7 linked regions of the Oryzias latipes genome follow. The protein of the gene in region 6 binds, or shares a complex with, the protein of the main gene of each other region. Links are inferred from orthologs where the notes say so. Each region holds a gene or a part of one and is shown on either strand. Other genes may lie near its edges.

What was found.
Region 1: kat14 (region 6) and dr1 share a complex: the UniProt entries of both Homo sapiens proteins name them as parts of the ADA2A-containing complex. The link is inferred for Oryzias latipes from reciprocal best matches to the Homo sapiens genes KAT14 and DR1.
Region 2: kat14 (region 6) and yeats2 share a complex: the UniProt entries of both Homo sapiens proteins name them as parts of the ADA2A-containing complex. The link is inferred for Oryzias latipes from reciprocal best matches to the Homo sapiens genes KAT14 and YEATS2.
Region 3: kat14 (region 6) and tada2a share a complex: the UniProt entries of both Homo sapiens proteins name them as parts of the ADA2A-containing complex. The link is inferred for Oryzias latipes from reciprocal best matches to the Homo sapiens genes KAT14 and TADA2A.
Region 4: kat14 (region 6) and sgf29 share a complex: the UniProt entries of both Homo sapiens proteins name them as parts of the ADA2A-containing complex. The link is inferred for Oryzias latipes from reciprocal best matches to the Homo sapiens genes KAT14 and SGF29.
Region 5: kat14 (region 6) and tada3 share a complex: the UniProt entries of both Homo sapiens proteins name them as parts of the ADA2A-containing complex. The link is inferred for Oryzias latipes from reciprocal best matches to the Homo sapiens genes KAT14 and TADA3.
Region 7: kat14 (region 6) and kat2a share a complex: the UniProt entries of both Homo sapiens proteins name them as parts of the ADA2A-containing complex. The link is inferred for Oryzias latipes from reciprocal best matches to the Homo sapiens genes KAT14 and KAT2A.

Annotation. Positions count from the first base shown.
Region 1 is NC_019862.2:24,028,850-24,032,875, reverse strand, and holds the start of dr1 (protein Dr1), read left to right. Parts: upstream 1-1,226; 5' UTR 1,227-1,844; coding exon 1,845-2,064; intron 2,065-2,234; coding exon 2,235-2,398; intron 2,399-3,625; coding exon 3,626-3,772; 3' UTR 3,773-4,026. UniProt on the Homo sapiens protein: The association of the DR1/DRAP1 heterodimer with TBP results in a functional repression of both activated and basal transcription of class II genes.
Region 2 is NC_019875.2:23,341,641-23,345,140, forward strand, and holds part of yeats2 (YEATS domain-containing protein 2), read right to left. Parts: intron 2,183-3,500; coding exon 2,071-2,182; intron 1,885-2,070; coding exon 1,840-1,884; intron 1,756-1,839; coding exon 1,587-1,755; intron 1,250-1,586; coding exon 1,001-1,249; intron 346-1,000; coding exon 181-345; intron 1-180. UniProt on the Homo sapiens protein: Chromatin reader component of the ATAC complex, a complex with histone acetyltransferase activity on histones H3 and H4. YEATS2 specifically recognizes and binds histone H3 crotonylated at 'Lys-27' (H3K27cr).
Region 3 is NC_019871.2:10,132,969-10,137,256, reverse strand, and holds the start of tada2a (transcriptional adapter 2-alpha), read right to left. Parts: upstream 2,801-4,288; 5' UTR 2,700-2,800; coding exon 2,675-2,699; intron 2,285-2,674; coding exon 2,178-2,284; intron 657-2,177; coding exon 597-656; intron 516-596; coding exon 424-515; intron 1-423. UniProt on the Homo sapiens protein: Component of the ATAC complex, a complex with histone acetyltransferase activity on histones H3 and H4. Required for the function of some acidic activation domains, which activate transcription from a distant site. Binds double-stranded DNA.
Region 4 is NC_019866.2:658,581-662,754, reverse strand, and holds the end of sgf29 (SAGA-associated factor 29), read right to left. Parts: intron 4,138-4,174; coding exon 4,073-4,137; intron 3,406-4,072; coding exon 3,276-3,405; intron 3,167-3,275; coding exon 3,020-3,166; intron 2,929-3,019; coding exon 2,893-2,928; intron 2,818-2,892; coding exon 2,655-2,817; intron 925-2,654; coding exon 808-924; 3' UTR 501-807; downstream 1-500. Other genes in the region: nfatc2ip (NFATC2-interacting protein), read right to left, coding at 175-186. UniProt on the Homo sapiens protein: Chromatin reader component of some histone acetyltransferase (HAT) SAGA-type complexes like the TFTC-HAT, ATAC or STAGA complexes.
Region 5 is NC_019863.2:25,385,741-25,389,849, forward strand, and holds the start of tada3 (transcriptional adapter 3), read left to right. Parts: upstream 1-1,309; 5' UTR 1,310-1,724; intron 1,725-1,761; exon of another isoform or gene 1,762-1,907; intron 1,908-1,985; 5' UTR 1,986-2,065; coding exon 2,066-2,275; intron 2,276-2,349; coding exon 2,350-2,597; intron 2,598-2,733; coding exon 2,734-2,839; intron 2,840-4,109. Other genes in the region: actin-related protein 2/3 complex subunit 4, read right to left, coding at 35-146, 427-545, 1,082-1,084. UniProt on the Homo sapiens protein: Functions as a component of the PCAF complex. The PCAF complex is capable of efficiently acetylating histones in a nucleosomal context. The PCAF complex could be considered as the human version of the yeast SAGA complex.
Region 6 is NC_019859.2:448,648-451,357, forward strand, and holds the end of kat14 (cysteine-rich protein 2-binding protein), read right to left. Parts: coding exon 2,587-2,710; intron 2,511-2,586; coding exon 2,335-2,510; intron 2,266-2,334; coding exon 2,075-2,265; intron 1,335-2,074; coding exon 1,161-1,334; 3' UTR 501-1,160; downstream 1-500. UniProt on the Homo sapiens protein: Component of the ATAC complex, a complex with histone acetyltransferase activity on histones H3 and H4. May function as a scaffold for the ATAC complex to promote ATAC complex stability. Has also weak histone acetyltransferase activity toward histone H4.
Region 7 is NC_019866.2:6,157,278-6,161,466, forward strand, and holds the start of kat2a (histone acetyltransferase KAT2A), read right to left. Parts: upstream 2,801-4,189; 5' UTR 2,767-2,800; coding exon 2,497-2,766; intron 2,255-2,496; coding exon 2,131-2,254; intron 202-2,130; coding exon 56-201; intron 1-55. UniProt on the Homo sapiens protein: Protein lysine acyltransferase that can act as a acetyltransferase, glutaryltransferase, succinyltransferase or malonyltransferase, depending on the context.

The sequences.
Region 1 (4,026 bases), on a different chromosome or scaffold from region 6:
CAGTTATATTTTTCTGTTGCTCTCAATAAGCTGGCTAGCTTCTGTTAAAAAATCCAAAATTATTATTTAAACGAATTAACTAACACTAACAACAATATTTATCATAATTTCAAAGGAAGTTCTATTTCTTTATTAATTTTTCTATGCCACTAAATAAAGATCATTGTGAGAGAAACTACTGTTTGGCATTTTGAAATGTTTGTCTTTAGAAATTACATTAGATCAAGTTCTACAGGTAGAACTTGATTTAATGTATATTTACACTTTTTGGAAGTGTAAATATAACTTAAAAACAAAATGTTCACACATGGCAACGGGGCAACTCTAAGTCAGATAAAACAAAGAATAGTAGGGATGTAACACTTAATTAATTTATTTATCCAGATCAAAGTCTGAGACAAGTTGTTAATCAAATCGATAAATACCATAAGATCATTTCAAAATTAAATTGACTATAATCTTTACTGAAAAATACCATTTGGATTGAGGCATTGTAGGTTTATTTTACTGTAACTTAAAAATGACCACGTGCATCACAGTGGACAACACACACACACACGAGATGACAGCAAAACACTTTTGATTTAGCAAAGACGTGACCAAACAGTGTGGTAGAATGTTCTGATAATGTTCCATTTGTATTATTTTTTATGTGGAAAAACAACAGTAGGCAAAACTTTATGAAACTAAAATGTGAATGGATTTGACATTGGTACTTGATTACTGGCTTGTTTGTACACATATTTAATTTACACTTGATTATCTTGAAAGAAATACAAGGAATGTGGAAAAACTTCACCTTGCACTGTTAGTACCCAGGTATTTATCTCTGAGCCACATTGGTTGAATATTTGGCTGAAGATGTTCTGGATCAAAATAAGGTCAGTGAATCGTAATAAATTTACTGGTTCACTATGATCTAAAATTAACTATGAATCATATCAGCAACCACAAATTATATGAATCAAATTATTCTTAATATTAATGTTACAACTGCTAAAAACAATGCATTTGTAGATACATACTTTTTTTTTCTTCATTTAAAATAAATATATTTCCAAAAGTAGGCAATCTTAGAAAAATCAGAGATAATAGTTTGGTTTTGTAACGAAAGAAAAAAAAGATAATTACATCTGTAGCTCCCTGCGGAACAATTTCCAATCATTTGTTGTACCACCCGACTCCATCCTGGTGGGCACCGGAAATTGTTATAGCGCACACTCGGAGCCAATCAAAAACGCCCTTTGTCTGACGTCGTAACCGGACACATTTCAGCTAATGTTTGTACAGTACACAACTCCAAATTATAAACCTAAACAAAACATCTGCAATCAAATTTTGGTCAAGTTCAGGACTTACATATAAATACTCCAATTATTTACGAGTAGAACTGACTATAATTCTTGCGCTTCGTAAAGCAAACAGCTCCGCTTCATCTGCGCTTAATTGTTAGCTTAGCTTAGCCATGCTCTCCGCTTTCATTGGACTTGTGTGCTGCGTCTCAGTTTCGCCACGGACGACGGATATAAGGATATAATTTTTCTTCCCCCTCCCTTTTTTTACTGTAAGCTTCAGAGCAATCTTGGACATTTATTCGCCGATTAAATACGATATAGGAGCGCCGCTCAAGCAACAGAACCTGCTCATTGTTTGACATTTGGTTGGTAAGCTAGCCAGTGGGCTAACTTAGACTAGCTCGCTTGGCAACATTTCCATCGATATTTTCTTGAACCGTTATCTGTCTACTGTAACATGGACATAGAGAAGACAGTGAACGCGTGATAAATCTTCTCGAAGAAGCGGAGTTCCACTATTCTGTTCCTTTCCCCCCTTTTTTCATCACTATGGCTTCCTCGTCTGGAAATGACGACGACCTCACCATACCGAGAGCAGCTATCAACAAAATGATCAAAGAAACTTTGCCTAACGTACGGGTGGCCAACGATGCCAGGGAGCTTGTGGTCAATTGCTGCACAGAGTTCATCCATCTTATTTCCTCCGAGGCGAATGAGATCTGTAACAAATCCGACAAGAAGACCATATCTCCAGAGCATGTCATTAACGGTTGGTTCTCATTTACATGTATTTACCACCTCTTTAAATATCGCTCGTCCTTTATGTGGGTGGGTGTGTGTGTGTGTGTGGGGGGGGGGGGGATGCAAAGGAGCACGGATCCTCCTGCAAGCTTCACATCATAGAAAGTGTAGTTTCAACCTCGTGTTTCTGCACCACAGCCCTCGAGAGCCTTGGTTTCGGCTCGTACATCACAGAGGTGAAAGACGTGCTGCAGGAGTGCAAAACGGTTGCTCTTAAGAGGAGGAAGGCCAGCTCTCGACTGGAAAACCTGGGCATTCCGGAGGAGGAACTCTTGAGGCAGCAGCAGGAGTTATTTGCCAAGGTCTGATCTCAGAAAACTGCACCTTCAAATGTGGCTTGAACACCCACAATAATATTAACCTACAGATCATGATGAACACGGGCACACAACTTGTACTTTTCATTTGAGGTACAGAAGGGCTTGGTTTTGTTAACATTTTCAAAAGTTTCTAAACTGGTCATTCCATTTAAGGATATCAATCCCCTTTAAGATTGGATGCAAACAAATTTAGGTGTTTTAATAGAAAATACTTAACTAAGCTCATAGAGGAAGTATTTAAGATGAAAAAAAATCTTTTCCTGTCAAGTATTGTAGAAATGAAGACATGTACACACAAAACAATTTCAAATATCATATAGGCATACACATTTAAATCAACCTGAATGTAACTTCCTCTTTGAGTTATGCTGATTGTCCTGAAACAAAGCACTCTCTGCTCATTCAAAGTAAGTTAATGTGGCCCTTTCAGCTTTAACTGACAGGCCATGGTGTGTTTTTGCTAAAGGTTTTTTACTTTAAAGACCCACTCAAATAAAATATCATGTTTTTGGTGTTTTCTAAAATCTTCTTGTGGCATTTTTCTGATGATGGAAGACGTATCATAAGAAAAACAAGCTTCATATTACATTTCTGAGCATTTCTTCATTCAAATAGTTCTGAGTCAGGAGCAAACGACAAAATGCTGTGTGGAAAAAGCTACAATCGGCGGGCCACAAGCTTCCCTCTCTGCTCCATTCTGATACATCCTCTTGCAGACAAATGCATCCATGTACGTCTTTTTCCTCGTCTTAACAGGCTTCCGACTCAGCTATACAGCTGGAAATCCAATATTGCTTATCATTTTTGTCGCACTGGTAAAGTTAGGTTGGGGGTTTGAGGGGCTGTAAGCTAGAAAAATGCTACAAGAACATGTTAAAAACACCAAAAGCATGATTTTTATTTGAGTGGGTCTTTAAGGTCAGAGAGATGTATTTTGTTCACATTCCTTTAAAAAAAACATTTTGTTCCTATGTATTGCTTTGTTTGATTTGCTGCGTTGTATTTGATATTCATTTAATAAATATCCAACAACACAAGATAAACCTTTTTGAGAAGTTACATGTACGGTATATATTTAAAAAATTACCAAAAACTATTATTTCTGCAGTAACCGGCCGGACTCACTGCAGGTTGCCATGAGCTTGAATGGGTAAACCTGAAGTGCCACATTGTGTCAAGCACTCATGATAGAATGTGCGTCTTCTGCAGGCGCGGCAGCAGCAGGCGGAGCTTGAACAGCAGGAGTGGCTGCAGATGCAGCAGGCTGCCCAGCAGGCACAGATGGCAGCAGCATCTGCAAGCGTTGCCCAGCAGGCGGGCTCTTCTCAGGATGAAGACGAAGAGGACGAAATGTGACCCCCCCCCGCGACCCACTTTACTGTGTTTGAATTTAACGTTAGGAAAGTTTTGGTACACAAATCTCAGTTTTGCCATGAACAGGGACTTAAAACATGTTTGTGTACTTGAAATTTAGAAAGCTAAAGAAAGGGATGCGAGGGGAGAAACGGCCCCACATGCACATTCAAAGAAGCGTTTTTACCGGAAAATGGTAAAAATGGAAAGGCTGTTTGCGAAGTTTTTCATTAAATTTATATTCCCCTGGGTTTTTT
Region 2 (3,500 bases), on a different chromosome or scaffold from region 6:
TTAAAGAGAAGAACAGACAAGAGGCTTTGGGTGCAGAGATGTGCAGAAAAAAAATCTTCCAGATTTGATCATTTGCTGTACTTTCCATTCTCTGTAGCCATTAAACGTTTTCAAGGGCATCTTAGAGGTTTGCTTTTAAACTCTGTGGAGCATCGGCAGCACTGACAAAAAGATTTGTACCTGTGGGCCCAGCAGACGAGGAAGTCATGCCGATCATTTGGCCAGGTTTGTCTACTATGATATAAGGGTTGTTGAGCACAGAGGAGCCATCCTTGGTGTGAGCGGGGGTGGAGGCGATGGGTGTGCGAGGCAGGGGAGAGTGGCTTGGGGTGGAGATGGGGGAGCCTATAGATGAGAAGATGTACCAGTAAACAGATACAGAGTAAATCTTTTGGTGTTTTATATGTCAAAGATATTGGAGGAATTGAAATGGAAGAGAACTTGAGGGCTAAGATAGTCTAAAGAACATCAACTGTTAATCACACCAATTTCATGAAATATTTTAAGCTTTTAACACCTCTAAATTTGACTGTTCTTTTTCATGGGGTGCTTTTTTTTGGCAGCTCATCTAGGACTTCATTACTGGACCTCCTCATCAGATGTCTCCTTTAGCTCTTAAGGGGGTAGGCTTTCCCAAGAGAACACTCCTAACCATAATCAGTCCATTCTGGAGCCCTACGTGTCTAAACTGCATCATGACCCGATACCAGACAGTTGGTATTTTGGGTACCCAACATTTATGATCTCAGATGAGGGTTAGAACATAAAAGACAAAAAAAGGTTATATATTCAATTTATTAATGACAAAAAAAATCACTTTTCTTAAGAAAAGTGTCTTTTCACTTAATTGTTGTTTGTAATTTGGTGGTAAATTTATCAAATAAATGCTTTATTACATGTGAAACACTGACATAATGAAATATTTTATTTTAGTGACTAAGCTCAACTTCTGAATAGGGCAGATATAGCTGCTATAAAAAAAACTGATGGAGACACTTGCCTGAAACTATTTTACAGCTCATGGTGATGGGTTGGAACAGTTTCCCAGGAGATTCAGCGGGACTGGGTGGCTGTCCTTGAGGGACTATCTTACAGCTGGCTGTGATTGGTTGGAAGGCAGAGTTGCCATGGGAACCCAAAGTAACCCTGTCACCAGTTTTGGGACGTGTTGGAGTGCGCTCACCAGCAGCAAGAGAAAGACCTGAACTAAGAGCAACTGCAGCACTTCCCACTTCTGCTTTAATCAAACCTGGAGACAGGAGGAGAGACTGCTTTAAAACTTTGTTTCTACCTCGTCTAAAGTCGGCACAAAGCAGTTGGCATAATGTTATCTAGATCATCATATCTTTCACAATAAAGACTTTCATCTAGGATAGACTGGGGATAATGAAAATGCACGTAAGGTGCATCAAAACAAACAGACATAGATGGTGGATCAACCTGAAACTGCATTGTCAAAAATCCACCCATAGGACTTTTAAGTCGCCTCTCTAGCAGTTCTGATTTACCCCATAAGGCTAAAATCCTTCAATGCGATCCATTTTCATGGTCATGTTCCAAAGCTATTTTTGTGTCTGTTTTTGTACCTTTGTCTACACTGCCGTCATGGGAGATGGGGGAAGCAGATCGTCCGCGACTCTGGGCAAAGCTGGAGGCTGACAAAGGACTGGCTGTTCCTTGCGTCACCTTGGAGGAAGACGACTGAAAGTAGTAATCTTCCCCAAGAGAGTCTCTGTGGAGCTCCACATCAACCACCTGGAATAGGAATAGCGGTGTGTGACTGCAAAAGCCTGAGCGGAGAAGTCAAAACAGGAAATGTTGCAGGAATCCAGGACTTACAGTTTCTGCCCCAAGGGTCTGAAGTCCAGTGTACGTTCTGTCCAGCTGCGAAAAACCCCAAGAAAAGGTCAACAATAAACAGGTGCTGACTTATTCTCTTAGCTACAAATGTAAATATGCCAATAAGTCAGAATGACTTATTGGCATAGTTGCAAGACCAACTATCTGGTTGCCTGGAGGAGACTTGGTCAAACTGGATATGGAAGGTGGAAGTATTTGATGAGATCTGACCTTAAGCTGGTGAATGATGTCAATACGTTTGTTGCGAGGGTCTTTGAAGTGGATCTGGATCCTGACAGGAAACTCCCCCCAGCCACGACGCGTTAAATGAAAGGGGGACTCACTGAGAAAAGAGATGTGCTTACAGTCATTCCAAGAAAAATCGAATTGAATCCCAATTAATGCTTTTAGTGTAAGGGATTCATCTAACACAAACAAACACAAGTTAGTTAAAGTCCCACTCTGATCATCTTATGTTCTATTTTTTAAATCGTTCTCGGTGGTCTTTTATTTATGATTAAGCTGAGTTGTTTTCTAAGGCATAGTTTCTGCAGAGCGGCAGTAGTTCATTAGAAATTCCCCTCACCTAACATTACTGGCGAGCAATTTAGAAGCTATTCAGCCGTACAGTTTTGAGGCAGATGCCAAATAGGGAAAGGAAGACTTACGAGGATCTAGTCGTTTACAAGTGGATGCATCAGAATGAAGTGGAGAAGGGAGCCCCGTGTTTTCTACTTAAAAAATAAGGTCTATTACAAAAGGCATTTTTTCGTTTGCTCCCGATTCACAACAACTTGAATACAGAAATCCTCAGAAATGTAATTTTAAGTTTAAAAGTTCTTTTAATATGTCCTCAATCCTCAGAAAAATGCCACAAGAATGTTAAAAACACAATTTCGAGATGGCATTTAACTACAGAAACAAGATGTATGTTAGAATTTCCAAAGTCTTTTAAGGCTTGTTTCCTTTACTTTGACACATCCGCTCATCTACATTTATGCCGTGTTCAGTCAGACTCAGCCGGTGAGTCAGTCAGTCATGAGAGGCTCATGAACGGCTGTAGCAGCAGTGTGAGTGCATCTTCAGCTCAAAGAGTTGCCAAACTTGAGATATCTACATTAAAATTGCAACCGTTTTGTTGATTCATAAAAAACAGGTAATTTGAGCGAAGGCAATGTAAACAACAACTAATTTAAACATGTGAGAGTCATGTTGAGGATAACGTTTGAAATGCAAAATGAGCAGCATTTCCTCCTAATCGATGGCCTCATTAAGCCTCAATTGAGACCCGAGTTTCTTTTGAAATTAGGCTGCATGAGCTGCAAGATCAAACAATGCACAAGGGGGCGGTATTTACTAAATTATATTTTTCGCTACATTTTTCCACACAAACTGATAAATCACATGTCAGGAGGTGATGAAGAGTTTGATATGCCTTTTAATTTGTGCAAGAGGTTTGTGGAAGGAGGAAATGCAAACCACTGACTCAGAGTCTTCCTGTGACAGGGGAGTAAATATTGATAAAAAATACTGAAACAAAGCATGGAATCATATCACCGCTGCCTTTCTTGCAGTTATTGTTGCCTCGGGTGATCAGAGAGAAGCTTACCCTGATTTTGTAAAAATACTACCTATGTTAGAAAAACATGAACCACAAGGGC
Region 3 (4,288 bases), on a different chromosome or scaffold from region 6:
TGAATAATAAAGTTTTTAAAAAATCAATTAAATTATTAGTGAATTCTCTGCTGCCTTTTTGTTGATTATACTAATTGCTTTTTTCTGTAAATGAAACAAAGGCTTTATATATATGGACAGAATATGCTTTTCCCCAAACTTCGAGGCAGTAACTAAATTACACTTAAATTAAAAAACAATATAACCACTGTTAAATAATATTTTCACCAATCTTCTTTTTTAAATAATTAATGTGAGATTTCCATTAAACAGCAGAAATGACTTGTAAAAATTGTCACATTTTGAAACCAAAAGACAATGAAACTAACATGACACCAATGATAAATAGCTAAATGATAAAACATTAAAAACTTGCTTTTTGAAGTTAGTAAAAATAAGTGTATTCAAAAAGAAAACACTGGTAAAATGTCTTCGACCTCTTACCAGTTCCCAAACCCGCAATCCATGACTGCCTCCAGCAGAGCCATCTCCTCCTGCGCCGTCCATCCAGGCTCCAGCACCGGGAAGTCTGAAGTCTGAGTCGAGGTAACACAAAAGATGCCCGCTAAACATGATGTTTAGCTACACCCGAGAAACTCAACTGCAGCTCCACTCACCATGATTTCATATCTGTGATCACTCTGATGCTTCTTGTATTCAAATCCTCTGGTAAAACACTGGAACGAAATAAGTTCAGGGTAAAGCTGGTCAGGTAAAAGACACGATTTGTTCATTAAATAAAAGTTCTTTGAATGCACTGAGGAGGTTTTCTTAACTGAGAAAAGTAAAACTTACATGCAAATTAAGTGAATTCATAAATTGTATCGATATGACGACCATGAAAGAAGCAGCAGTTATAATGTGGCTTATTTTTCAAATAAACCCAATCGTAAAGATCTGGTCATTTATTTCCCCATTAATTTAACAGTGAAGGAAATCATTTTGCAAAATAACAAAGTTCTAATCTAGAAAGAAAAAACAAGTGCATTTTTGGAAGTAACTAACAAAAGAATTTGTATTCAACACAGGTGTGTGAGAAAGCACAGTATTAAACCAGGTTAGACACAATTTGACTTCATCCTTTTAAATAATTTTAAAAGATTTCATAATATCAGTGTGCTATAAAACTATAATAAAGCGTCACTTTTTAAGAAACACATTTAGAAATGTGATCAACAACATTGTAATGTACTTTTAATACCCTTTTACTACAGAATGTAATACTATATTTAAAAACTGTACTTATTAATATATAGTTGATATATTTTATAGATACAAAATTAAATATGTCAATTATTTTAATTTTTAATAAAATTGTATCTATCATAGAATATTTGTAACAATAGAAAACCCTAGAAAATGTAACACTTAACACTCATAATAAAGAACATACATACAAAACATTATTTGGTTTAGCAATACGATCTAATGCTATTTGAACAAATTCAAAATTCAGAGTGCAAAAGTATTTTAATTTGTGCTACATGATTTTTTCTCAAATGTAATAATGTTTCTAAGGCAATAAATATATTATTTAATAATGGATGTAAGACTTACCGTATATCCTCCAATAATAGCCCTGACATTAATTGAAGACCAGCCACTATTGGAAGATATATGGTATTGGCAATGTAAAAAATAAATAAAACAATTGTTAAGAAACAGGATAATCAGTGGAACATGAAAGAACTGGACGGAACACCCTGACACCTCTTTATTATACACTGCCGTGGGATGGCATCATGTTCTTTCATTTGAATTTTTTTTCTCAAATCAGGTATAGTAGTTAGAAATCTGTGGAAGGCGATCAGTGCTGGGCGGGCACTGATGTGGAAACCTCCAGAAGTTCCAAAAATAAGGGTCAATCAATGGCTACAGAAATAAAAGCAGTTTGGCTATTTGGAAAACCTTGCATACCTTCTGCTGCTCATTGCACAAATGCGCGTTCCTCACAAATATGGACTCATTTAAAATATAAAGCAAACTAATTTTGCAGAAGTCTAACATTTATTGCCAAGAAGTTTTGCAACAACAACAAGGAAATACTGGGCTAAAAAAAAAAATCGTAAGGTTTTGTCCAAAGTGTTTAAACTGTGGTCTGTCTGCGTAAAGTTACAGCTGAGTTATTCGGTTTGTGTTCAAACACACATTCTAAAGAGCCAAAACAAACAAATTATAAGCATCCTCATCTGGCTTACCTGAAGACACAACAAAAAAGGTGAAGGTCCACATTCTGCGCACTTGATGTATGGTTCGGTTAGATGGGATGAGCAGCCTCTGCAAGGCGGTTTATCAAAGGGGTCATCTAAAATGAACAGAATAATTATATATATATTATCAGTAACAGTTTTAATAGTAACAACACGCAGTTAAAAAAGATACATATAGCCTAAAGTCGTGATTTTGGGGCAAACTTGAATGCACAAAACAGATGTTATCTTGGGCGAAGGACTAGCTTTACTAGTCGAGCTTGAAAATGATGATAATGTTGAATGTCTCAACAACAGGTCGAATATTTTCAACAAATCACTGCGGCAAACAAAAATAGCATTGTTTTTGACGGCGATGCTAATGCTAAAGATAGCTTAGCAGACCTTGCTTTATGGACAAAAACAGCTAACCTTCCAAAAAGTCGATGGATACTTGGTAAAACTGCAATAAATTCAACTGTGTGTATAATAATGCCAATACGTACCTGAAAAAGACGCTATTCGGTCCATTTAATTGCTATTTGCTTCTCAATAACAACACCAAAATTGAATTTGGGTCGATCTGTTTTTCAGAACTCGGCTATGTGCCTGATGACGTCATAACTAATCGAGCTCCGAATATCGATAGTTTTGGTCGTGTATCACCACACAAAATGATATATATACTATTATGTTTTAATAGTTGTGTGCCATGTCCTCATAGGTTCTTACAAAGGCAGAAGAAACTCAAAAATTTGAACAGAAAACAAATGTTGTTTAAAAAAATGTATGAAATATATAAAAAAGCCACATGGAATATTGCATTTTAATGCAAAATGATTTTTATAAAAAGGTATTTCATCTTTAACTTTCTTTTCCTTCTCTTAAGATTTTTGTTTTACATTTATTTTGCAATGGGGAGAGATTTTAACTTGTTTTTAGTTTCTCCATCTCATCACCATGACGACAGTACTTCCCTATATTGCCACAAGGTGCTGATCTTGCTCTATGTCTCTTAAGGCAACAATGAGCACCCTGAAAGCCTTTGTCTCCCTCCCAGCACAGATGATTACCTGAGGCTTGCATAAGCATCATGTGAGAAATAGAAATAAAGATGATGAATGTTCTGTGTCACAACACCCCCATGCTGCTTTTTGTCCTCCATAAACTTTTTGCAGAGGTGCTGCCTGGCCTGCAAAAGGCTTCAAGACATTTTCTTTAATATGAAAACCAGCAAATATTTATGAGTACCAATGTTTTCCAGTGCCTGTGTCCAGGTTTGGCACCCCCAATTCAAAAACAGCTCAAACACCCTCAAGAGCATGCCAGTGAGGGCCCATGAGGAGCCTTAGGAAAACAAATATCTGAAACCCTAATGCATAAAACTGCAAATCCACATGTGCCAAACTCACTTAAAGGTAGAAAAAATAAGTATTTGAGTGAAATGACTGATTTAGTACAGATGTGGCTGGAAAAAGGACTGTTTGATTTTCATGAAACCTCTTAACCTCTCTGCAGTTACTAATTATGACAGTTTTTATTCTAATATTTGCATTTCTGTCATTGATACCAGAAAATCTGATTCCTTCTTTCTTTGAGGTGATTCAGAGCAAATATATTTAGACTGCAAATCCCCACAGAGGATGAGGGCAGCTTCCTAAACCACATGATGGGTTAACTCTGAATGGGCTGCTCTGTTCCAGCTTGCTTGAGCCTTCTCTGTGAGTTCAATACATCCTGATTGGTCTGTTCGGTAGCATCCTAGCCTGCGACTCATCTCTGGAGCCTCTAGGGAGAGACACGGTTTTTAACGATAGTCTGTGTATGTTAAGGAGATGCACGCACACTCTTACTCTTTTGGAGGAATTTCCAGCTCACCGTCATACTAGCTTGTAATCATCCTTTGAGAGGGTCATGATTTATTCACCTATGAGGAGAGACTTCTCCTTTTTGTGTAACGGTTTGCTGTTGTGTGTTGAGCCAGAGTGAGCTTCCTTTTTTGTTCCTGGCTGCAGCATTCACACCACATGCCCACAAGTGTGTGATCAAACGTGGCTATAAAGGCCACAACTTTTCAGGACTATCTCAGCAGAAGAGCCCTTCTATCAACTGTTTGTTTC
Region 4 (4,174 bases), on a different chromosome or scaffold from region 6:
TTGTGAAAAGCCTGCGTAATCCAATATTCAAGAAATCCGACGATCCTGTGGCTCCGCGTCCCAAACTTCACTTGAAGTTTATAGTTCGTTCACTCAACAACACCCGTCAGCCACGACCAGCCCCCACGGAGACCGGTTTCACTACAGGAATCACGGAGGATAGCCGCCACTCACCGTTTCCGCCATGGCTCTTTTCGCGCCTCTCTGTTGCTTTCAAGGACCCTCGGATATTTAAGATTTAGCATCATTTCTGTTATTGTCGCGTTGCCTTTGTCACTCAGCGGCCGCACATCATAAATAAACTAATCATTGTGTTAAAAAATAATCAAATAACATCGTTGATATCCGATGTGTCACAGACATGTTTTATTTTATTTTTCTTACATTGATTTGATTTTATAATAGTATAGAATATGACTACATTAAAACAAACTGAATTTAGTTCAAAAACACTGAAATATGTAAAAAATAAATAATGTAAAAACTCAATGCCAACAATATTAGAGAAGCAAATCTTTTTATTAATCTGGATTTGTTTTGTTCTAAAAAAAAATGACGGCATGATTCAACTTCCAGCTTCACGTTAACCACAGTTTGTTTTGTTCAGGCGACTTACTTTGATCTTTCAAAAGTACTTTTTCTGACTGTCCTGTGTGCTCTTAAGGGAAACGTTTACAGTGACCCGGGTCAGGATCAACCCGGTTCTGTTTGGAACCACAATGAGCAGTTCCTCTTCTGGAGCACAGGTGGCGCTGGAAGCCTCTTTTTTGGTTCAGGTTGTCCCACCACGTTTGATGCCGGCGCCGCTCATTTCTTCTTGTTCTCCTTGCAGGCGACCACGTAGCGCTGCGCCACATTCAGCGGAGGAGAGTAACCGTCGGCGTACGACGTGTCCTCGAACAGAACCGAGTAGTCGTCCTGAGGCTGCACACAAACACAGCAGGGACAGTCACGGACCAGGGGGCTATTCCAGGAAGCATGTTTAAACTAGCCTGACTTTAACCCTGAACTCTGGCTGAAATCCGCCTGAACTTGCTTACTCTGGGTATGTCGGTTCCCAAAGACCAGATATGAGTTAGCATAATTACGCTCCACTTGGTAACCCTGGGTTAATGCACGTGCACAGCAGGTACATAAAGACATTCTCAATGGATCACAGATTTCTGGAGTCACCATGGAAACGCGTGGAGAAAAAAAGAGAGAGCGCTTCAGTGAGACGGAGTCTGAGATTGTAATGACGGCTATGAAGATTATACGTCCATCAAAAAGTAACACGGCTGCATCATCAGCAAAAGAAAGAGTTTCTGCTTGGAGAAAAAGAACAAAGTAAACGCACAAGTTTCTGATCTTATTTCTATTTTCATGTGATGCATATATTCATATATATATATATATATATATATATATATATATATATATATATATATATATATATATATATATATATATATATATAACTTATCCAATTTTGCCAACGTAAATGAATTACTTCTATTGGTAACAAGTAATTGAGTTAAATTTATTCAATCTAATTTCTTACGTCTATAAAACTCAATAGTTGTTTTTACAGCTCAAATTTACATATTTATCTAACTAAATGTCATATTACTCCAATTCAAGTAATTTTTTTTCCATCGTAATGAATTATAATTCTTGAACTCTCAAATGTCTAAGTTTGAGCCGGCAGATCCTCATTTTAATAACAATAGAAAGAACAAAAGAGTGCGTTCATTCATTTAGGAATTTTCCAACATTGTCAGTATTCTAGTTAACCGTAGGGCTGCTCTATAAACTCATCATCCTCTTCCTCCCTCTCACTCATGGTGCAGAGACGTAAGCATAGTAGGACAAAATAACTCGGTAAAACACAGTAAAACAGCTACACAACTAAACACATTTGGTCAAAAACCCACACTTAAACCCAAATCCGTCCAGACAGGCAAAGGGAATGATATCCCACAATCCCTTGTGGTGCCGATCTAACAGCAGCACCAAAGTTACACCTACTTAATTGAATTAATTTGAATGAAAGTAAAATAACTGTCTGATAACTACGTGTTATTTTAAAACTGACTTAAAAAAATGATTTATCTTAACTGAAGCAAATAATGAAGTTAGATCAAAGTAAAAAGTTTATCTTTCCAACATCCATATGTGGTCTTATCATCCTCTCATGGTTGAAAAAGTATTATCTGAGCTTTTTCATCCACTAAATCATCTTCAAATGGACACGCCATGCTGCTTCACCTCTCTGAAAACAAACTAACCTTCAACTAAACCTGCTCCAGACCAGGTTATGTTCAGAGCATGAGTTGCTATGGCAACTTGACCTACCCTGAAACATACCTCCATTTCTGGAACTGAAAGCTGAGGTTATCAACTTCCTTAGCCTCAAACTTACCGTGGGAGCTAGCAGAACCTGCTATCTGGAACACCCCCCAGAACCCACACCTCGGGTTACATACCTGCTGGAGTTTAGGCCACGCCTCTCTGGGGAGGCTAACAGTTAAGGGGCGGAGTCAGACAGGTGCTGTAAATTAAGATGGTTATAAACTCCCTTTTCCCGTTTTTTCACAGACATGTGAACCTTACTGAAGCTGAGGGTTCTGGTTGAACGTTCCAGCACGTGGAGGTGGGGGGGGGCGGCGGCTCACCCGGTGCGGCGGCGTGTGGATCAGAGCGCGGTAGAAGCAGGTGGTCTGCGGGTACAGAGCCAGAACCAGCTGGTCCTTGCTGAACAGAGCCTCGGGGTCCGTCTCCGGGTTGGCCTTCCACTGAGGGAGGGGGATGATCCGGCGCCGGCTCAGGGTGTGTCTCCTGACGGTTCCAAACAGAACATTCAGAGATCTGCTCCAGAACCCAGAACCCACCCAGAAACAGAGGAGAACTCACTCTTTGCCCTCTTCGTCGATGTCATCCACCTCGTACCTGCAGCAGAGAACACAGGTCAGAGCCGGCACGTGGGCGTGCACGTGGGCCTGCATGTGGGTGTGCACGTGGCTGCGCGTCTGCGCCTCACTTGTTGGTGGAGTGGCTGTAGCTGACCACCTCAGCCAGGATCCACTGCTCGTCGCCGTCCACCACCTTCACTCTGGCCGCCACCTTGTCGCCCTGCTTGGCCACGTAGTCGCTGCTGGCCGGGATGGCCCCGCATAGAGGAGGGGGGCTGCGGGTCACGGGGGGGGGGGGGGGGGGGGGGCAGAGATGTCAGTCATGCAGCAGAACACCATTGAAAACAAGCTGGGTTCTGTCCTTCCTCAGAGGAACACGGACACCTCTCTCCGGGTTTCCCGATCCACAGTGGTAGCGTCATGGCCGACTGCTGCAGGAGGGTCATGAGCACGCCGCGCCGCATCGTCTTCCTGGGGGGGTCGTTGTCACTCTGAACCCTGGCAGACTTCGCGGCTGGAAAAGACAGATTTCTTTAGAAACCAGAGGAGACGGAGGAGCAGGAGCTCACTGCTGCTGCCTGTAGCTGCTGCTGCTGCTGCTGCTGTAGCTGCTGCTGTAGCTGCTGCTGTAGCTGCTGCTGTAGCTGCTGCTGCTGTAGCTGTAGCTGCTGCTGCTGTAGCTGCTGCCTGTAGCTGCTGCTGTAGCTGCTGCTGCTGCTGCTGTAGCTGCTGCTGTAGCTGCTGCTGTAGCTGCTGTAGCTGCTGCTGTAGCTGCTGCCTGTAGCTGCTGCTGTAGCTGCTGCTGCTGTAGCTGTAGCTGCTGCTGCTGTAGCTGCTGCCTGTAGCTGCTGCTGTAGCTGCTGCTGCTGCTGCTGTAGCTGCTGCTGTAGCTGCTGCCTGTAGCTGCTGCTGCTGCTGCTGTAGCTGCTGCTGCTGTAGCTGCTGCTGCTGTAGCTGCTGCTGCTGTAGCTGCTGCTGCTGCTGTAGCTGCTGCTGCTGTAGCTGCTGCCTGTAGCTGCTGCTGCTGTAGCTGCTGCTGCTGTAGCTGCTGTTGCTGTAGCTGCTGCTGCTGTAGCTGCTGCTGCTGTAGCTGCTGCTGCTGTAGCTGCTGCTGTAGCTGCTGCTGCTGCTGTAGCTGCTGCTGCTGCTGTAGCTGCTGCTGCTGCTGCTGCTGTACGCACCGATCCTCCGCTCCTCCTGCAGGGACTTGATTTCTGCGATCTTGTCCAGAGCGTGACGCAGGATGCTGCCAGAAAATCAACGAGAGGCGGATGAGAGGGAGC
Region 5 (4,109 bases), on a different chromosome or scaffold from region 6:
AAACGTATTATATTGTAGAGATTTTTTTAAGGACCTGCTTCACAGCAATGCTGACTCTGACAGAGTTGATGGACCCTTCGATGAACACCTTCTCCTTGTCGTTACGACTGATCACCACCGGTTGAAGCAGCAACTCCTTGCTGCTCCTGTAAACACATGGCCATCAGATCCCTTCAGCTTTCAAATCTCCAGCTGCTCTGTCTCACTTTGTTAGGAGGACATCTGCAGGCAAGCTGCAGCTAGCTACATTTGGTGCGTCCATGTCTTTTTTTCCCCTTCCCACAAATATTTTCCAGTACAAGTCCGCACAGGTCCGAACTTGTGTGAAAGCAGCTGACGAACCACAATCGGAAAAGATGCAACAGCAGCAAGCAACAACAACAATATAAAAAAAGAAAGGCTTGCAGTTGCTGATGTGACACATACCTGACCTCCACCTCAGGCTTGTTGTGGCGCTCCACCACCTGAGAGGAGAAATTCTCCAAACAGAGGGCGGCCTGCAGGGTGGCCCTCACAGCATTCAGGTAGGGGCGCAGAGTCGCTGTCTGGAATGAGCAGAAGATCAGTATGTGAAGGAATCCTGCTTTACTGAAACACTAAGGGATCAAGGCTGATATAAGCACCAATTAGAACATTACATTTCCATGCCATTTTTTATCATTTCAACCAAATATTGTGATTAGTAATGAATTAAGCCATTAGCATGTTTCTTTTCTCTAGTTTATTGTAACAGAGGATGGGATTTGGGGAGATTTCTAGAGCAACATTTTAGTAAAAAATGTGATCATCTCTTCTTTTTTTTGTATCTTTTAAAGATTGCCGGGTGACATAACAGACAAAAAAGAGCCTAAATGAAAAAGAGGCTAACAGGAAAAGGCAGCTCACGTCTTCTGTCACTCTAGTCTAGTTTCTGCATACCTACATGAAGGATGCCTGCCCTCCGATAACTAGATCGAACCACTAACACCGGATAAAGATCTAGAAGCTAGCTAGCTTTTCTCACATTAATAATATCCATAGTTGCTTGGAATAAAAAGCTAAATTGTAAAATATAAGCGAAAATATTATGCATCAGACTTACCATTTTGAGCAGTAAAAGACGGAAGTTCCTCTGCCACGCCTGGGACGGCTCTTCCGTAAATCCTGCATAGTAGAGTAACGCTAGGGTGCGTTTGTTTTCTTGTCTTCGTTTGATGAGGTCGACAGTTTCTCGGTGCGCAACTCATCTAGCAGTTTTGCTTTGTGGCTCCACCCATCCAGAAAACACGTTATAAGAAACCGAGCAAACCCAATCGGACTTCAATTTCACTGTACAACGGGGGAGACGTTTTTCTTCAGTGACAATTTAGGCTTGTAATATCTACACATTATTTAATTTTTTGCCTCAATATTAAATTTTTATAGTCATAATTGTACTCGTTTCATATAATAGCATTTAAGTTGAAAACATAGTGGCTATTACTTGACAAATTCAGATTGACCTAATGGTTTCTTCCGACAGTACCATCACAGATGCAGCTTTGGGCGTTTTCTAGATTTCGTAAAATGCATTTACCCATTTTCCATATTTTTTGGCATTATGTCTTTTCTTTATATGTATTATTCTATACAAATGCTGAGACAGCAACTGTGTTCACTTCAAGGTGATATATTAAAAAAAAAGCCTACAAAAAACACCCCCACTTGCACGATGGTATAATCCATCATGGGCACCTTCACTGACGGTAAATATCGTTGATCTTTAAAAATTAATTACGCGTCTGTTCTTGAAGTGTGTGGCGTTAAAAAAACGTTTGTGTTTATATAAGCCATTTCTAAGCAGTTCGCTGTGTAATTAAAAATGTAATTTGGGGGCAATTCTGGCCGGCCGCTGGTTCAGCCCCGCTCGAGTGTGTCGTGTGTGATGCGTACGTATCTATGTGTTGTGTTTTTAATGAATTAATTATGGCCAAACGTGATCAGGATGAACTGTGTGTTCGTTTCAGATGGTCTGTAAATTACCCCGCTGTTCATCATTTTGCGTCAGTTACATCAGACTAACGGCTCCCTGCCAACAATCAACATCATGAGCGAGCTGAAGGACTGTTCCCCGCTGAAATACTACGACTTCAAGCCCGTGGATCATGTCAGGTTGTGTCCCCGTTACACCGCCGTGCTGGGCCGCTCAGAGGACGATGGCATCGGCAGCGGGGAGCTTGATACTCTGCAGCTGGAGCTGGAGACGCTCCTGTCTTCAGCCAGCCGCCGCCTGCGAGCCCTGGAGGAGCAGAGACAGGTAGGTGGACGCTCATCCATTCAGCAGCAGATGGACGCAACATTTGATTTACCGCATCGCTTTCATCCTTCCAGATCCTCACAGATTGGCAAGACAAAAAGGGAGACAAGCGCTTCCTTAAAATGGGAAAAGACCCTGATCCTGCAGCCACATCCCGCCACAAGCCCAAGAAACAAAAACTGGATGGGAAAGGAGCACATGGACAAGGACCTGGTCCCGGAAGGCCCAAATCCAAAAACCTGCAGCCGAAAGTTCAAGAGTATGAATTTACAGATGAACCACAAGATATCCCGTGCACCCCCAAAAATGATGCTCCCAACAGGTCAGCACGAGGCGCTTTTCACACCATACTTATCTTTTTCGGCTTCAACCTTGCTTCACTGTTTAGTTTATTTGTTTTGGTGGATTAAAACCCTTTTTATGTTTAATCTGTTTACTTTTTACTTTTTTTTTTCCAGATTCTGGGCTTCAGTTGAACCGTATTGTGCAGATATTACCAATGAAGAAATACGACTGCTTGAAGAGCTTCTTAAGCCCTTAGAGGACGAGGCTGAGTATTTCAAAGTATGATTTTAAAACTTTTAGTTCACTTAAGGCAGTGGGGCTTCTAGATTCAAAGCGATACACACCTCTCCCTCAAAAGAAACCCTTAAAGTTCTATGTTCTTCCCTAAATACTTCTGTTTCCTAACAGAGTTAGGTAGGACTTCATTTGGTTCTTGGCAAACAAGCCATGTCCGAATTCTGTCAGTATGACCTGAAAACCAGATCGAAAACTTAAAACGTCACCAAATAAAAAAGATAATTAGTTGTGGGTCTGTGTACATTTAAAGACCACTGGGAACGCTGTGAAAATGGATCAAAAGAGGATCAGAGTGACTTTTTTAGATGCAAATTCATCAAACTTCTACTCAACATTTACAAAGTATTCACTTTACTGAACTTAAGACCAATTTACACAAAAACCCTTTTTTCATCACTTCAGTACAAGTTAACCAAAACAACATTGTAGCTAAATGAACTTGGAAATATTTAATGGTCTTAAAAATTGTAGGGTTTTTTATCTAGTCAGACATAAAAACATTTTTGCTCTAATAAGAGCAAGAGAAATATAAGCAAAGCTTGACCCATTAGTTTGTCTTGTTATGAGCCTATTTTTATTCATTGAAGTAATTTATTCCTGTGCATAACTTAATGTTGGGAACTTTTTTCTCTCCACCTTTTTAAATAAGGTAATTGCCTTACTAGCTACTCCTTTTATTATTATTAGACTACATGTAAGAAATGTACCGGTATATATCACAGGAAAACGGTTCTAAAACGAGCTTTAATGATGCGTCTATATAACAACAAGTAAATACATATTATGCAAATACTTTCTTGTGATGTTAAATATAAAATTTTTTTAAATCACTGAATAATTGCTAATCAGTTCTCATCCCTCCTTGGTTCTGAATAATTTTTTAATTCACGTTAAACAACCCTAAAGGTAACGTTTGATGTCACCATTTAACCTCACGACGCCTGAATATTTTTCCAGTGATGAAAAAATAATTCACTTATGTTTTTGCTTTCATGTAGATGCTAAATTAAGATATTTTTTTTTATCATTTAAAAAACCAGACTATGTAAAAGACCTTGTGCAGCCGTACACTCCCAGCTGGTCCCTGAGATCATGTGACCAGGGTCTGCTGGTTGTTAAGAGAACCCGGTTAAAAACTAAAGGTGACAAAGCCTTTGCAGCGGTGGCTCCATCCCTCTTGGAACTCCCTTCCTCTCAGCCTCAGATCTGCAGACTTTGAAAACCAGCTAAAAAACATATCTTTTTTTAAATT
Region 6 (2,710 bases):
CCCCCCTGCTTTCAGATGGAAGGCCAGCGTGAGGCAGAGGAACGCTGTGGGGGAGACGCCTTACGATGTGGCGGCGAGCTCCGGCGGCGGCGACATGGCGTCTCTGCTGGCAGCTCAAACTGGACCAGACTTGCTGGGACGGTCACGCCTGAGCGCCGATGTCTTCCAACCTTTAGGGCGGGGCCAGGGGTTTGCCGTCTGACAGACTGCACCTCCTCTGGGACATTGAGTGGGAGGAGTCTGATGTCTGAGCATGCTCAGTGCTGTGATGGTGACCAACATTTTCCTTGGTGGGGGAGGAGAGTCTTGAAGCGTTCAGCTTTATTTACAATAAAAATGTTTCTACTCAGAGTTCATGTCTTTGAGGGCGACTCTGGCCCTCTGACCCCCCCTCTACTAATGCAGTGCCCTGCCCTGGATGTAAAAAGCAATGCAGACGCCACGCTCACTGCACGCCATTGATTTCACGAAATGAAAATCTAACCATTGAGCGTTTGGAGTCTATTTCTGATCCGCCGTCTCCTGAAGACAAAAACGACGTTTATTTAAAAAAAGACATTAAATACATTTTTGTGGCAAAAAATAATTCCGATGCAATGCATTGTGGTCTATATTCACTGATGTAGTGAGGATGGACGCACACTGGTTTTCTGCAGAGACTTCTGGGAAATTTTTAGGGTTCTGGATTTTGGAAGCGTAGATCCAGACGAACTAGAAGATGGAGAACCTTCAATAGTTAGGGAAACAATTCAGACAGAACCTTTAGAACCCCCCCCCCCCAGTTCATGTCATCATGGGGGGTGGGGGTAGAGGTCACGGGCCCCAGTCACCGGGGACTTGGAGCCATCCTTGGGACCAGGTGGGTCTGTCAACTGAGGCCAAGACCCCCATGGACTTGGAGTGACCCCCCAAGTCTGTGAAACAGTTTCCTTCTGTTTTCCATGAAGGTGGGGCTGTGACCCCCCCCCCAAACAAAGGACAAATTCCTGCTCCAGCTTTCTCCTATCTGCTCAAACTGTTGCCACAGTGACATAGCCCAGTGCATCATGGGTAATGCAGTCTGTGGTCAGGAAAGCCTGAATGAAACTTTTATTGGATCTGGAAAACAGGATCACGTGGAAGTCGGAGGTGACGGACCAAACTGGATCAGCAGCCGGGCGTCAGCGCCGCAGGCGCAGGAAGAAGGCGTGGCGGCACTCGGCGCTGTCCACGGGGTAGAACTTGTCGTAGAAGTCCAGGATGTACTCCTCGGCCTTGAAGCCGAACTTCTGGTAAAGCAGCATGGCGGGGTTACTGGCCGACACGTGCAGCGTCACGTCCTTCCCCATGCACGTCTGAAACGGCACGGACACAGCGTCAGCCACGCCAGACGCCACTGGAATCACGCTTAACCTGGCCAACCCTGGCCCTCAAGGGCCCCAACCCTGCCAGGTCTCCAGCTCTGCACCCGGACTACCGAAAGCAGGTGCATTCAGCCAATCAGCAGAAAGATGGTGGAGGGGGGGCTGGAGACCAGGCTGGCTCTGGAGACCAGGGCTGGCCGGGCCTGCCTGGAAAGGTGGAAGTTATCTGCCCACACCGGTACTTTCCAAAGTTTCTGGATGGTTATGACTTTTTATACCTCAGGGGGCGTGGTTTAAATTAGCAAGTGGGTGGAGCCAGCAGCAGAGCTTTGACGGTGTGGGATTTTTGATCACCGCGCTGATGAAGCAGCAGGAGTCGCGGTGCTTCGAATCAGAACGCAGCAAATGTAATAACAGACACATAACAGTAACAACAACTAAACAACTGTTCAGGTAACCGTTAACAACCAAAGTGCCGCTGAAATGCTGCTGCTGCTGCTTTTATTATCCGTCTTCATGTTGCTCTTCATTCAAATCAGACTCAGTAATAAATCCCCCATAATGCTTAAGGACTGGATGGGGGTGGGGTTACCATCACACCCCTATCCAGCACAGAGGAGGAGCTGAGATGCTAAAAGGTTCTGATGTAAACTGAAGAACCAGAGGAGGACAAAGCTTTGGACCCAACCGAACAAAAGCTGGACGTCAGAGCCCCGCCCACCCCCACCCACCTGGATGAGGTGGTAGATCATGAAGGTCCCGATGCCGGCCCTCCTCCACTCAGGATGCACCAGCAGGAAGGAGATGTAGGCCTCATTGTACTTGACGTCCGGAACCATGAACCCAAAGCCCACCACCACCTTCTTGTAGAGGACCACCACGCTGAAGTCCGGGTACTGCAGGCACTCGGACAGGTCCACTCCTGGGGGAGGAGCCAGCCAGATTAGAAGAGTGGGGGCAGCAGGCCAAAGGCTGGAAGGAGATACTCCACCTGGCCAGAAGCCGTGGTGACACATGGCGTTGACGGAGGGGATGTGGTTGGGACGGACGTAGCAGTAGTCGATGGGGGCGTCGGCTTCAGGGACCCAGGCCGGGTCCTTCCTGTGGGGGTACGCTCTGATTTCAGCCAACAACCGCAGCTTCAGAGGGCGGCTCTCATAGTCCCTCCTGCAGACCAGAGACAGAACCTTAGACCCTGACCGCCCACGGCCACCGGGGCGGGGCGGGCCGGGGCGGGGGGTACCTGATGTACGGCTTCAGCACGCGGGACGTGTACGGACTCTTGATGCTCTGCTCCAGACCGCCTTCAGCGCCCATCAGCCGATGCCAGAAGGACACAGAGTGTAACGGGACGCCTCTTCTGCCGG
Region 7 (4,189 bases), on a different chromosome or scaffold from region 6:
TTCCACCCAAACGCTCAAAAAAAACACCCCAAAACCCATAGAACCATAACGCTACCTTGAAGAGGTAAAAGTACACTTGTTTGGTATCAGTGTCCTCCTCTTTGTGCACAGACATGAACAGGTTCTCCACGTCAACCACCATGCCCAGCAGCCTGTTGATCTCCTCCTCAGACACATTCTCCAGATGAGACACGTGCTCCGCTGCAAAACAATTACCGTACAGTCAATGCATATGTTCTACTGGGATCTCTTTATATTTTCAAAATTGTACTGAAGTTTGGGGAAACGTAGAAATCTGTAAATACTGCAAAAAAGAGCTATCAGAACAATTGACGTACTAGTTTTTAAAGAGATTCTTCTCTTTCAAAAACAGTTCAACTTAGAGCAACATTGTAAAAGTATTTTAAAAAGATGTGTGCAGCTAATACATTCTCATCACCACATGTGGCTCTTATTCCCCTTCATTGTGGCTCTTTGGCTAAAGTAAAAAAAAATTCATTTGAAAAAGTAACTTTATAGTAAAAAAATAATAATTAAGTAGTAACTTAAAGAAAAGTAAAATAGACAACCTCAAACTCTTTTCAAACAGGCCAAAGACAGTACGTAACACAAGTCAAACTAAAACATTAACTAAAAACTGAAACACGTTGAGCGCCGATAACCACAGAAAATCAATCGGAGGTCACCAAGCACAACCAGAATTTAGAAGCACTGGATTATAAAGCAGATTTTTTAATTCTTTTAAAACAATTCTTATTGATTTTAAGTGTACGGTACCTTGTGGTTTGAAATATACAATAAGGGTTACTTATTTAGCTCTTATTTAAATTTAGTTTGTTCGATTTACTCTTTTCTGGCTGAGATGGACCCCCAATGGTAAAACAAAGTGTGTGACATTACACTACCAATAAAAACATTAGCTGCTTTGAGAGGATCCTTTGTCTAAGGTGTCCTTTATTGAAAGGAAGTCATATGAATCTCGGCCAAAAGTTATACACCATTTCTCATTTTTCTTAAAAACAAACCCAGATATTTTCTCTTTGTTTATGCATAAAAACAACATTATATATATGCTGCTGTCTAAGTATGTAGCCAACAAGGGGGCCCAAGTTTGGGTCCCCCTGTGCCGGTCCCCAGCCCAGATAAAAATACAGGGTTGTGTCAGGACGGGCATCAGGTGTAAAAACGTGAAAGTTGATTCAATGTGGCGACGCCTGAAGGGCTATGTTGAAAAGTGAACAACAGCAACAATAACAAAAATACCAACTAATGTCTTATTTTTTAAAAGGCTAAAGTAAGACTTTGTAGCTCCTACTGGGTTGTTGTTGGTTAGAAATCCACCAAAAGTGTTAAAAGGTTGCAGACCTCTAGACTACACTATATATATATACGTTTTATCTTCAAACTTGGAAAAACAACTATACATGCATGAATATTGCACCAGAATAATACTGACTGTAAACATGACGCACAATATTAACCGCAATGTTCATTCTTAAAAACCAATTCCAGTAAAAATCTTGTTTTTGGTGTTTTTAACATCTTCTTGTAGCGTTTTTTCTCGTAATGGAGGACATAGATAAAGGAAATTAAGATTTAAACTGAGTTTCTGAGTATTTCTTCATTCAAATTGTGGTAAATCAGGAGCAGACGAAAACATGCCGTTGGAGAAAGCTTGTAATTGCTGCTGTAAGGAGAGCGCGGACACAAAGGGATGATGGGAAATGCGAGCAGGCTCAGTCCGTGCCAACAGTTCCACCCAAAACTCAGGTGGGTTTCTAATGCACGAACACGGCTCTTCAGAAACGATGTCCTAGAAACCCAAACGTTTTTTGATTTAGGCAAAATCTGCCTTATCATAATTACATCAAAAGATAATTGGAATGAGACTTTAAAGTCGCAGTTTCTGCACAAATTTTGCCATTAATCCCAAAGCCAGAGGAGGAACAACTAGTTTATTTTCTGACTATCACAGTAATGATGGGCATGTTTGCAAAGGGCAAACCGTGTATCTTGTGCAGAATCTGTAGTGTCGTCCCTCAGACGCATTAAACAGTGTGATGAGCCCTTCAGCGGTACTGATCTCCTGTTCTTAGTCAGTGGTTTAAATGGAGGCTGAATAGTTGGTACCCAGAGCATGTCCACAGCTGCGGCAGGGCTCGCTCAGGCTGGCTGCTTGCTGCTGCAGATCCAGACGGGTGGCTGACGGTGGGTTTGGGTTCTTCCATCCGTTGCATTTGCATGTGTCATTGGCCTGAGGACGCGAAGCACAAACAGTGAACGGCTATTCAGCGGCCGCAATGACTAACGGATCAATTACGCTAGCTGATGGGTTTGGCTACAGATTTGTGAATATAAATTATTTTTACAACAGTCGATGGAGGGGAATTAGTTGACGTTGCTCCACTTCTACTTTGTGCTCTAAACATATATTTATAAACGCTAATAAATCTCAAGACGGCTCTGTTGTGAACTTTGGCTAGCTACATTAGCTACCTTGCATGCGGAGAACACGCCAAGTTTCTCCAGCTTTTTCGCCCGTGGGAAAGCTCGAACTTGGGCTTTCTTCTGGCTAGCGCGCTGTTGCTGGCTGAGTCCTGGCCTAGCCGGGTCGCTATTGCCCGACCCGGAGCCTGTTGCAGCATTACCGGACCCAGCTGACCCAGCGGACTGGGTCTGTGGAAGCCGGGGTTGTGAGGCCTGCGCTGCCGGGTCCGACATATCCACGCTGCTGCTGGAGACTTCCTCTGTTGCCGTTGATCTCATCTGGTGCCTTCAGGTTCCGGGCAGAAAGCTGGATTTTACAAACACCAAAAGCTAAAAATTCAAATAAAAAATGTACACAGCATTAAAAGCATATTGTTTTAATCGTGAGTGAATAAAAACCTAAAATAAAATATTTACTATTTGAAAGGATCATTTGGCTATTTCTGGAAATTTTAAATGTACAGGTTCCCAGTACTGTAGTAAAGCGGTGTAGTGTCCTCTAGTGGAAAAACATGAAAGCAACACGTAACAAATGTTAGGCTCTATGTCAAGCTGTTCTAGAATGAAATCGGCATCCTTGTTTTAAGCCCAACTAGTAATGCCAAAAGTACAATTATTTAAAACGAAATGCCATAAATGTGAACTAGTTAACTAGTAATGTTTAGAAATATGTACTAGTTTACTAGTGGGCAATACTTGTGCTTACTGGTTGGTTAGTGACAATCTAAAAAGTCAACTGGTTAACTAGCTGCATACACATTTTCTACAGCTCCACTAGTAAGGCTCTTGTAAAGCTCACTAGTTAACTAGTGTGACCAAAATGTTTACTCCCAAACTCTGATCAATTTTTCCATTCCACATTATATATATATATGCACACACACACAAAAGGACAGACCCAGTTAACTGTAATGCAGAAGCTGTTTTTCTGGAGTACCTCTGCTATGGTCCACCTAGTGACCGTTTTAGGTATTGCAACTATGCATACCTCAATGAAGACTTTCAAAATTAAACACAATTATTTATGGAACTATATTGTTTCTTTATGTCTCAAAGAAACAGCTTTTCTCTCATTAAATGTGCAACTTTAAGACAAAATACATATTTTAACAGCAACAACTGTAAAGTGAGACAGTTATAAACAAAAAATGTTTTAAAATGTGGATTTATGCATGTAAAGATTATCAAAATTGTATAAGAAACCAGTCTATTATGAAATGTTTGACACTGGAAGTACTATACCTCATGTCAAAGCAATAACCGACAGGTTATCAGGTAACCTGTAAAGATGTGTGAAATTGTTTTAGGGTTTTAGGGTGGAAAAAATGAGTAGAAACATTTCCAAGCCTCTGAATTTCATTTTAAATTCAAAGATTTTTAAGCTATTTTCAACAAAATCATACATGAAAAGATGTCTACCCTCATTTATTCATGAAAGTAGAATCGTTTTTCCCACAATCCCTCCCTTTCAAGATGCAACGGCTGCTATTTTCCATGGTTGATGCCATATTAGGATGGATGACCCCCCTCCACCACCACCCTCAAAAAAAGTTTAAAAGCTGATGCCTCACTGATGTGAAAATTAAGAACAAAAAAAATGTGGTGAACGCTGGAGAACATCTCAATTCATAAAGATGATGAGACAAAACCAGTGCATTTAATACCAGAGATCTCCAGAAAGAAAAAGAAAAAAGGAAAAAAA